Schizosaccharomyces pombe: one gene and its partner. The protein of the gene in region 1 interacts with the protein of each later gene in a biochemical or structural test. Each region holds a gene or a part of one and is shown in the gene's direction. Other genes may lie near its edges.

What was found. Proteins that work in one complex are often made in the same cells at the same time.
Region 2: the proteins of mcm6 (region 1) and mcb1 form a complex in vitro, tested with the Schizosaccharomyces pombe proteins (one study listed by BioGRID).

Annotation. Positions count from the first base shown.
Region 1 is NC_003423.3:3,878,863-3,885,568, reverse strand, and holds mcm6 (MCM complex subunit Mcm6), read left to right. Parts: upstream 1-2,511; 5' UTR 2,512-2,572; coding exon 2,573-5,251; 3' UTR 5,252-5,471; downstream 5,472-6,706. Other genes in the region: gamma tubulin complex GCP4 subunit Gfh1, read right to left, coding at 1-1,636; sap10 (splicing factor 3B), read right to left, coding at 1,974-2,145, 2,201-2,283, 2,346-2,348; gea1 (guanyl-nucleotide exchange factor), read left to right, coding at 5,729-6,706. UniProt on the Schizosaccharomyces pombe protein: Acts as a component of the mcm2-7 complex (mcm complex) which is the putative replicative helicase essential for 'once per cell cycle' DNA replication initiation and elongation in eukaryotic cells.
Region 2 is NC_003424.3:904,355-909,299, forward strand, and holds mcb1 (mini-chromosome maintenance complex-binding protein mcb1), read left to right. Parts: upstream 1-2,442; 5' UTR 2,443-2,529; coding exon 2,530-2,691; exon of another isoform or gene 2,692-2,735; coding exon 2,736-4,079; 3' UTR 4,080-4,445; downstream 4,446-4,945. Other genes in the region: rce1 (CAAX prenyl protease), read left to right, coding at 1-274, 326-778; DNA replication factor C complex subunit Rfc4, read right to left, coding at 775-1,623, 1,679-1,790, 1,934-2,001; SUMO E3 ligase Pli1, read left to right, coding at 4,485-4,517, 4,570-4,945.

The DNA of each region.
Region 1 (6,706 bases):
GAGCAGCTAACTGACAGTCAACTTTCGAAACTTCTTGACTACGAAATAAAGAAAGCTCATGGTAAATCGAGTTTAAAGAAATGTGTAAATCATCATCGTAAAAAAACAACATTTTCTTAGCGTAAGTCAACGTTAAAGCATGCAATTGAGAACAGTCTTGCATACGTAACTTTTGTGTTCTATATAACTCAGTAAGAGATTCCCGTAATTTACAATATGACGGCTTTATAACACATTCGTAGGCATAATATTGTAAAGATGATAAGAACCATAAAGTCACCCACAATTGAGTCCATGGTTGAGAAATACCTTTGGCAGTATACTCCTTTCTTTCGTAAAAAAGGGATTTGATTTTAGTTATACTTAAGTGTAAAGAACCTAGTAGTATCCATAAATCGGAATACACATTTAAAGCATTTTTATCCATAAACAAATTGAACGGCCATTTTAAACACAATAACAGTTGCATATTGAGTCCCTCTACATCGATTTTACGATTCTCAGAGCGAATCATTTCATCTTCTTCATCAAAGATACTTACAAGTTTTAGAAAAGATACACATTCTCCATATTCAGTAGCGAGATCAAGTAAAGAAATAGTTTTCCTTAAAACAACGGGTAAAATATCATCAATTACTACCCCTTGAACGTCATTTGAACTGCAATATTCACCACGAACGTCTCTGAACATTTCAGATAATGTTGGAAGAAACTCAACATTTTCAAGTAACATCACCATCTCTAGCATTTTTACCAAATCGAAAATCTGATGAAACGAAGCTAATTGAAATATTATTTTTTCTGATACCAGAGTGAACATTTCATCTGCTAATTTTGTCACTGAAGATTTCGTTAAAGGCAAAGGCATTTCATATACCAGTCTGTAGAAACATCTAAGAATTTCACAGAAAGCGTCTGTGAAACATTTTTTTGCATTGAGCATACACGTTCGTATTGAAACTAAGCAATTAACGATGTCTTGGGTCAAAAAAGGGACATTATTGCTACAAGATACAAAATCTTTAGTATCACCGCATAAAAACGAACATTTGAAGCTGTCATCGCCGGAATCATTTACCAAATACTGCACTAATTCGTCAAGCCAAGTCTTCTGAAAAGCACATTCACACTCTAAAACCAGCTTTTTAAAATTCAAATGAGTAGAGCCCATATACATATTATGCAGCTTTTGAAACGTAGAAGCTACACTCAAGCATTGAGAAATATTACCTTGAAGTACTAGCAGACTAGATAAAGTTTCTTTCCAATCTGCTAAATGCGCTTCTAATTGCGCCAAGGATACGAATTTTCCGGAACCTACAAAATAAGGATCGCTGGATATAATCATCCGCTCTAAATTAGCTAGACTTTCATCATAAAGAAATAATTTTTTCGAAAGCAGAAGTCTAAGAGCTTTAAGAAGAAACTGGTTTTGCTGAATCAAATCTTCATCAAAAATTTCAATATATCGTTCTATCCTTTTCCTTTTACTTGCCAAAGATACTATGTCATTAATTAATTCTCGTTCACCAGGGTGTAATGGTTGAACAGATGGATGCAGTAGTATTTGACCATTTTTCTCAATAAACAGGCCAGAAGTATTCCCTGCGAGCAACAAAATAATCTCATGCAACATATAATGTATTTATTGTTACAGAGTTTGCATGAAAATATTCAACATATAGCCAATTTAAGTAAACTACTCCAAAGGAGGCTTTCGTAGTAAATGAGATAAATAGCTAAAACTTATTCGTGTTACTTTGAAGGTAACGACTAGGGAATGTCTTGCGTTGTTACAATGAACAATAATCAATGTAGCATTGCATATAATTCAATTAATATATATATATATATATATATATATATATTATTTTGTAATAACCTAGTAGGTACTGTTTATCTTAAACAAACAAAGTCTCAGACGAGCGAAGGTTTAACGACATTAATTTTGGGCAACAGGTAAACACAACACTTTAAAATTGATTAGAAGGGGGAGGTGGTCCACATGGCATGATCATTTTTTCTAATAGGTTTTTGCGAACTTGGACTCTCGGTTCGCCGAGCGCCGTTGCCATATATGCGAGCAACGGTGGATGCCCCACTACAGAAGACAAAGTATCCCGGTGCTGATTTACCATCCATTCACTAGTTTATATGGTGAGCGAAAATTCATTTGTCAAATAAACCGATTAGTACTTACTATTTGGTGGTAAACGCATTACCGACACCAACATAACGCGCTTGTAACTGTTCTAGTTTTGCTTGAGAGCGCAACCTGTCTGCCTACAATCGTTAATAAATGAAAGAAGCATAGAATAGAGATAATTCAAGAATTTTTTTCTTACCATAGTATATATTGGAATATGTGGTATAATGTTCAGACTGGGTTTTTTTAACACATATTGTTAATTGAAACGAATAAGGTATAATACTGTAATTTGCAATTCTAAATTGCGATTTCTAGCGCACCAAAGCAACCACAGAAATAAACGTTTCAAAATAAACATTGCTATCCTTTGACCAAAAACCTGTAGTTGCAGTTTTTTGATAATAGGGAGCACTACACTTGAAGATGTCTTCTCTTGCATCTCAGGGTAATAATGCTTCAACTCCTGCATATCGTTATGGGTTTCAAACTTCAGAAGTTGGGGACAGGCCAACTGTAAGTATGCCTTCACAACCTGAGTCGAGTGCTATGCTCGAGGATGATGGAATGGTGAAAAGGAAACCTTTTGCTGCTATAGGAGAAGCCATACCAAAGGTAATTGATACAACCGGAGAATCAGTACGTGAAGCCTTTGAAGAGTTTTTATTGTCATTTTCTGATGACCGCGTTGCTGGAGGTGATGCTCTCCCTTCTGCATCACAAGAGAAATATTATGTTCAACAGATTCATGGATTGGCAATGTATGAGATTCATACCGTTTACGTTGATTATAAGCATTTAACCTCGTACAATGATGTGTTAGCTCTTGCGATAGTTGAGCAATATTATCGATTTTCTCCTTTCTTACTTCGAGCTTTACAAAAGTTGATTGAAAAGTTTGAACCAGAATATTATAGAAGTTCTCTTTCTCGTGAAAATGCTTCACTTTCACCGAACTTTAAAGCCAGTGACAAAACATTTGCTCTTGCATTTTACAATTTACCCTTTCGATCCACAATTCGGGACTTACGAACAGATCGTATCGGTAGACTCACGACTATTACAGGTACAGTTACTCGTACTTCTGAAGTACGCCCTGAATTAGCACAAGGTACTTTTATCTGTGAGGAATGCCACACTGTAGTTTCAAATGTTGAGCAAGCATTTCGCTATACTGAACCAACTCAATGCCCTAATGAACTTTGTGCTAATAAAAGAAGTTGGCGGCTCAATATTTCACAGTCTTCTTTTCAGGACTGGCAAAAGGTGCGCATTCAAGAAAATAGCAACGAGATTCCTACGGGTTCTATGCCACGAACTTTGGACGTAATTTTGCGCGGAGATATTGTTGAAAGGGCTAAGGCTGGTGACAAATGCGCATTTACGGGAATTCTTATTGCCGTTCCAGATGTCTCACAGCTAGGAATTCCTGGTGTAAAGCCAGAAGCTTATCGAGATTCTCGCAATTTTGGTGGTAGAGATGCAGATGGTGTGACAGGACTGAAGTCTTTAGGTGTACGTGATCTTACATATAAACTATCTTTTTTAGCTTGCATGGTTCAACCAGATGATGCAAATGATAAAAGCGGTGCGGATGTCAGAGGGGATGGTTCTCAAGGGATCGAAGAGCAAGATGAATTTTTGCAATCGCTTTCTCAAGAAGAAATTGATGATTTACGTGCGATGGTGCATTCAGATCATATTTATTCTCGTTTGACAAACTCACTGGCTCCCTCTGTTTATGGTCATGAAATAATTAAGAAGGGGATTCTTTTACAGTTAATGGGTGGTGTTCACAAGTTAACTCCTGAAGGTATAAATCTTCGTGGCGACCTGAACATTTGTATTGTCGGCGACCCCAGTACTTCGAAATCACAATTTCTTAAATACGTTTGCAATTTTCTTCCTCGTGCAATCTACACTTCTGGAAAGGCATCATCTGCGGCCGGTCTCACAGCTGCAGTTGTTAAGGACGAAGAAACTGGGGATTTTACTATAGAAGCAGGCGCTTTAATGTTGGCTGACAATGGAATATGTGCTATAGATGAATTCGATAAAATGGATCTGTCAGACCAAGTTGCTATTCATGAAGCAATGGAACAACAAACGATATCTATAGCAAAAGCTGGAATTCAAGCTACATTAAACGCACGGACATCTATCCTTGCTGCTGCAAATCCAATAGGTGGCCGCTATAACCGAAAAACAACTTTGCGGAATAACATCAATATGTCTGCTCCTATCATGTCACGGTTTGATTTATTCTTCGTTGTACTAGATGAGTGCAATGAATCAGTTGATAGACATTTAGCTAAGCATATTGTTGACATTCATCGTTTACGGGATGATGCCATGCAACCTGAATTTAGTACTGAGCAACTTCAACGATATATCAGATATGCAAGGACTTTCAAACCAAAGTTAAATACAGAATCTTGTGCCGAAATTGTTAAAAAGTACAAGCAATTGCGGATGGATGACGCGCAAGGTGCTGGTAAAAATTCATATCGTATTACCGTGCGACAACTGGAGTCAATGATTCGTCTATCAGAAGCCATTGCAAGAGCAAACTGTGTAGATGATATTACTCCTGCATTTGTCAACGAAGCATACTCTTTATTACGTCAATCAATTATCCATGTGGAAAGAGATGATATTGAGGTTGAAGAAGATGATGCAGAGGCCCAAGAACTTGAGAATGATAATACTAATACAACAAATGGCAATGATAATGTTTCTTCGGAAGAAGCTTTGCAGAAACCAAAAGTAAAAATTACTTACGACAAATATGTTTCGATTATGAACGGAATATTACAGGTTTTACGCCAGCGCTCTACTGAAGGTGTAGATGGAGTACCAGCGGGAGACCTAGTTCAGTCATATCTCGAGCTTAGGGAAGACCAATTCCATACCGAGGAAGACATCATCTATGAGGTTGGTCTTGTGCGTAAGGTATTAACCAGGCTTGTTCACGAATCGATCATCATGGAAATTCAAAATTTAACTGACAGCGCCGTGAGGCTTCCTTTTGAAGAACGCGTATTTTCAATACACCCTAACTGTGACATTGATGCTCTACTGAGCAATGGCGATGTTCCGAACTAAGGTTATAAAAGATTCGTAACGATCTCTTATAAGTTTTATCAGTGAGGCGTATTTTTGAAACAGACCTGACATTAATTGTTGAAGCACTACTTTAATTCACGAAATTGGTGTATTTTTTTTTTCCTCACTGCATACCGTAGAAACCCTGATTTGTTATTTTAATCTTTACACTCTTTTTTTGTACTTTTATTCACTAAATTTGATAATACTATTGGATCCTACCGAAAAATATATACTCATTTTCCTGATCTAGACATTTATCAGATTAATCTATGTTTATTTCAAACATATAACCCAGGTAAATTAGTATAGTGATACGTTAAGCAATGTTAATATGTTGAAGCATATCTGCTGAAATCCGTTCAACACCAAAGGAAGGGTGAGACTGTTCAGGACTAAACCTCTACGCTATTTACAATAGTAAACACCTCAAGTTACTTTTTATAAAGACTCTTGATTAGTAGCTACAGAAGGGCTATGGAAGTGCCTCGCGCATCTCCTAACCAAGAGCCGTTATGTTCGATTTCACCGTCCTCCTTGGTGATCAATGAAATTATAACTGTCGTGACGGCAATTAGAAAAACCACGAGATGGAGGAATTCTGGTGTTGCATCCATTTTAGGAGTCTCAACACTTAAAGACGAATTTCTGGCTGATGGTTTAGAAAGCCGATGGAAAACAAATGGCGAAAAAAGCAGTAGTATCCGATATCCATTGGTTATGGAGTTTTCACAGTTAAAAGAAGATTTGACGAACCGTGCTAGCTTAAATGGATACGATAGTTTAAAGCTTCTCTCTCCGTTTTTGAGGACAATCAAGTCCCCACGAATGACAGGTTATATAACTAGCTTATGTTTATCAGCTATACTCAAATTCTTTTCTTTTCGAATCATTTCTGAAGAATCACCCAATTTAGCACTGTCAATGCGTAATCTATCGTTTGCTATTACTCAATGCCGTTTTGAGAGCTTCGATGCTTCACAGGATGAGGCTGTATTGTTGCGAGTTTCTAGGCTAATGGAAGAATTGTTAAGAGGTCCTGGAAAAGCTGTTTTGAGTGATGATTCTATTTGCGAAATTGTTGAAACAGGGCTCAGTATGTGTTGCCAGTCTAGGCTTTCCCAAGTTTTACGCTATAGTGCTGAATTATCGATGACATCTATCCTTGAAAAGATATTTGAACGCTTGAAGTACATTGATGTGAAAACGGATAGTGAAGATTTTTGGGACGCATCCGAAGAACACTCTATCAAAGGAGAGGAGTTCCATTACAAAAAAATCACCGAAGGCGATGAGATTTCAAATGAAATCGATCCCTTCGGTATTGGTTCTATTCGCGAAGTTTTTCGTGTACTAGTTTCCTTTATTGACTTTGGCAAGCAAAAGTTTTCTGATAATATTAAAGCCATGGCATTGAGATTTATAAACACAGCCTTAGAGGTCTCTGGTTCACAT
Region 2 (4,945 bases), on another chromosome or scaffold:
TAATCGGAATGACCCGAAAGTTATTACGGCACGTTGCATAAGTGTCTTATTAGCATCATCTGTATGTTGTATTTTAACAAGGTTGATCATTGGCCCTTCATTGAATGTATTCACTTTCCCGACAGACCAAGTTTTGAAAAGTTTACTACACGCAGCAACTATATTTATTGGGCCCCTGTATGAAGTTTGGATTGTTGACAAAGAATATAGACTCTTCTTTATACATTTGAAAGACTGCCTGTCGAATGCGATTGCTTGGCGAAACATTATTATTGTAAGTATCATTAATTTCTTTATCACTCCACATTCTCACAAGTCTTTTTAGGGTCCTCTTTCTGAAGAACTTACATTTAGATGTTGCATAGTACCAATTTGTGAAGCTGCTGGGTGGTCAAGGCTTAAAATTATATTTGTTGCGCCTCTGCTGTTTGGAATGGCGCATATTCATCATACCTATGAATTTCTACTTGCCTATCCGAATGCATATATAGCTGCCGCTCTTCAAACTGTTGTTCAGTTTTCATACACCACAGTTTTTGGATGGTATACAACACATCTATTCCTTTCCACGCATAGCTTATTTCCTTCATTTTTAGTACATGCTTTTTGTAATTCAATGGGGCTGCCAACTTTGTACGGAAAAATTGGAAACAGAAATCAGACTAGGATTTATTACACGTTACTATTGTTAGGGGTTTTGATATTTTATATGACTTGGGGTATTACTGATTTTAATAATCATCAAGACTTTGAACCAAGACTGGTGCCATTAAACTAAATAATAAAAGACTCCGGCTTCATCTGTGACTTAGCAAGGCGACATACTAAACCACTTAACTGCAACAAGGTTTGCACACCCTCTAAAATAATCATATGAGTTTGGCCAATTTCCTTAAGCATTTCTAATCTTGAAAATTCCGGAATACTGTCCATTGTCTTTACTACTCTAAACATATTAGTGACAATGTCCACAGCACTGAACCCCAAATCCCATATTCCCTGAAGTTTTTCAAGGGCGACGTCGATGTTTCCAGATTGACAAGCAGTTAGCATGGCATGTATCGCTACAGGTGAAGGCTGATCGGCGACCCGGAAAACGTTTTCACCGTTCACAAGACCGAATCCAGCAACAGTGCTCTGTAGATTGTTCACTGCTTGACGCATATCACCTTCTGCTGTCATGATAAGGGCAGCCAAACCATCATCTGTATAATTGACTTTTTCCGCTTTACATATATTCAATAAACGCTGTAAAACCTGTTGATCCGTAAGACGTGAGTATCGGAGAATTGCACACCGCGATTGAATAGGTTCAATAATTTTGTTGGATTGATTGCAAGCAAGTGCAAAACGCGTTGTATTACTGTAGATTTCCATAGTTCTACGCAAAGCTTGTTGAGCTCCAGCCGTCATACTATCTGCTTCGTCTAAAATAATGATCTTATGCCTTCCAGGTGGCAGTATGACTTTTTTCTGTGCGAATGCTTTAATTCTATTTCTCACTACATCGATACCTCGTTCATCTGAAGCATTTAATTCTAATACACCTTCCTTATATGCTGGGCCAAGTAATGCATGTGCTAAACAAAGAATAGACGTCGTTTTTCCGATACCAGGCATTCCCTATAAATATAAGTCAGCATGTAGTATAAATAATAATTAAAAAAAAATAGGTTACCGAAATAACTAGATGAGGCATATTCCCTTCCTTGGCAATAACTTTAAGTCGGTCAATCGTCTCCTCGTTACCAACAATGTCATCCAGGACGATTGGACGATACTTTTCGACCCTATAAGTTTATAGATCAGCATACTATATTATATTGAACCTTTAAATTATGAAAAGATGCCTGAGTCACCAAGAAGCAATCGTAATAGCTGAACACTAAAACCTTCATAAAGGACGTTTTAATTGCTCATAATATATACATACCATGGCAGCTCATAAGCTACAGAGTTATTTTTCTCTCCAAATACTGATGATGATACTGCATTACTCATATTCAGTGTTATTGAACTAGTAACATCAGTACTGAGTTCCAGTGAACTAGTAAATTTGTTGAGTATTTTAACCACTGCATGGTAGTCACTTCACCCATCGCGAATAGAAAAGAGCATTAATATGTAAATCTGAAAATTTTTTTTATTCTTAAATGCACTATCAAAGCTAGCTTTAAAATATATGTTTGTACAATCGACACAAATGATGAAAACAAGCACATCAATATATTTATATTATTACAAAAACGATCAATAATCTGTAAAATTCTAATATTTTTCTCTTTTAAGAGTAGTAATAAGCAATAGATAACTCTTTAAATTCACGCCTTCTGTTTCTTAATAAATTAAGCTTCTTATTAAGCGAATTTATACAGCAATTAGTACATCGTTAGGTATATGCAACGCCATAGAAAAGGGTACTTAAAGTCAATCCGCTCACGTGAAATGAACATTGCACATTGCAATATCAACATCTTTTATCATTACTGGTTTCAATAGGTTTAAAGGATAAAATTATATATTTATAATATGGTAATTGCTTTATCTGATTCTTTTATCGAAAATCCAAGATCGTTTCTTCAAAGATTTCAGGATGCATTGTTTGCAGGATCTAAGCCCGATTTACAAGGCACTTTAGGCATCGATGAAGAAGTTTCTAATATTTTCGCTACAGAGGAAAGAATAAGAAAGGTTTGTTAAGTGGTTTTTTCTCTTATTTGACACTGAATATTTAGATTCCAAACTATCTTGACTGCAAATGGTCTGAGTTAAAGACTGGTCAACTACTTCGTCTTCAAGGTATGGTGCAAGACACCAATTTTGGGCATGAATTTTTTGCTGGAGCTGTAGAGGTAAATGAAAACATTTGGAGAGGCTGTAGATACATACTTGATTTCAGCGAAGATGAAATGCATTTAGATGAATCTAAAATTGTCCTAGATGAAAGATATTCACTGTTTCTGACAAATGTTCCTGGAGAAAGAACTCTTCCTGTTATAGAAGCTTTGGGAAACTGGGGAAGCGAGAGTCTGAAAGAACGGTCATTGAAGTACTCAAACCGCTTACAAGCAAGTAATGATACCGGCGTTTGTGTTAAATGCTATGGCGGAATGGAAACTAAAGTTCAAGTTTGTCAAGCAATCGATGTTATTGGAATTTATGAAGAACCAAGTGAATACTCGGATGGTTTACCCATTTTACACATGTTATGTTTTAAGGATTATACGCAATCAGCTACTCAAGCCCCTTCTCCTCAGCAAGCTGAGATCATTCGACCAAAAATATTAAAATATTTTGAAAAAGTCCTTGGTGAAAATATAGCTGCGGAAAGTCTTATGCTTGCTCTTCTTTCCAACGTTGTTCATAAAACCACTGGTTTGGTTATAGGTGGTTTTACTTTAAATTTAACAAATTGCACCTCTGAATTAGTGTCCCAGTTAGTTTCTGTGTTACGGCCTTTGATAAAAAGAATGGTGATTCAAAAAGTTAATGTCGCCGAGCTTAACAGGAAGCCGCTTTATCCCTTGAGTGATGGAGAGACATTAGATACTAGCCATTTGCAAGTGGCTCCTGGCACCCTTATAGTTCTTGATGAAACTGAACTATCGAGTGGAACCTTAAACGATGTCGGATGCCGTAACGTTCAGTTTTTGTCTTCCCTAATATCTCAACAGGATTTAACATTTTTTTATCCTTTCAGTTCTTTTACCGTTCACAGTAATGTTCGAATAATTATATTAAGCCATGGAAGATCTATTTTGCCAGCTGATGTCGGTTGTAGATGTAGAGGCGATTCTCCGGACACTATTGAATTTCCAACTGATTCGGATGAGCTGCAAGAGTTTTGTAATTTTTTTCACATGTGGAACATGCGTGCTAATATTCCCGAAAACATGCTGGATTATATTCAATCTACATATGTGAGCTCCCGTCAATATAATAAAGAAATCAATGAAAAAACACTTTCATTACAGATCAATTGCTCTCGTCTCTACGCGAAGAGTTTCGGTCGTCAACTGGTTTCAAGAATTGATTTTGAGGCTGCCCGTAGTCTAATCAATCATTGGACTGTCAACTGATTGATCGCATATTTTCTTATAATCAACATCATTTAACCAATGTTAGAAATTACTTTTCATGTCTTTTTGGAATTTCCAAGTTAATTTCCTCATTCATTCGATCAAATTCATCAAAAGTTCATTTATATTGTTATTTAATTATTACTACAAGTAAAGCTCACTTGCCCGTTTTTTTTTTGTTTTCTTACATTATCACATACCGCACTGCCATATACTTCCTTATCTTCAAATATTAAATTCAAGTTTTGCCAACCAGGCGTTTGCAGAGATTCAAGGAATAAATATAATTCATTGTATTTTTAGCTAAAATTTGATTTCTTTGTCTTTCAAATACCTATACGGAAGCAGTCATTGCATATAACATATGTGTAAATCGACGGTTTAGGCAAGCAGTCTAAAAACTCAATGAACCAGGCGAACTTTTTACAGGAGCTTCCAGTAAGCCCAATAATAAGATATTTACAAGTTAACTAACAAAATGAATGTTTAGAATGTACTAAAGCGACTGGAAACTGGTCTTATTATACCTCAACTGAAAGATATACTTCGTGTTTTTGGACTTCGTCTTTCAGGAACAAAAGCTGAGCTCATTACCAGAATTAAACAACTAATAGAGAGGATAGCTATAGAAAACAACACAACCTCTTGGGAAGCATTGAAAAAGGCAATCGATGGCGATGTTACAAGTGCCGTATGTATCTTAAAGTACAACACATATCAGATATATAGTGCTGCTGCTCCAATTGCTCCACCTAGTTCAGCTTCTGGAAATAGATCATACAGCCGTCCTTTCGCCCCAGTTGTTCATTCGCGAATACGATTTCGAAAAAGTCCCTTTTATGACATTTTGGAACAATTCAATGCAC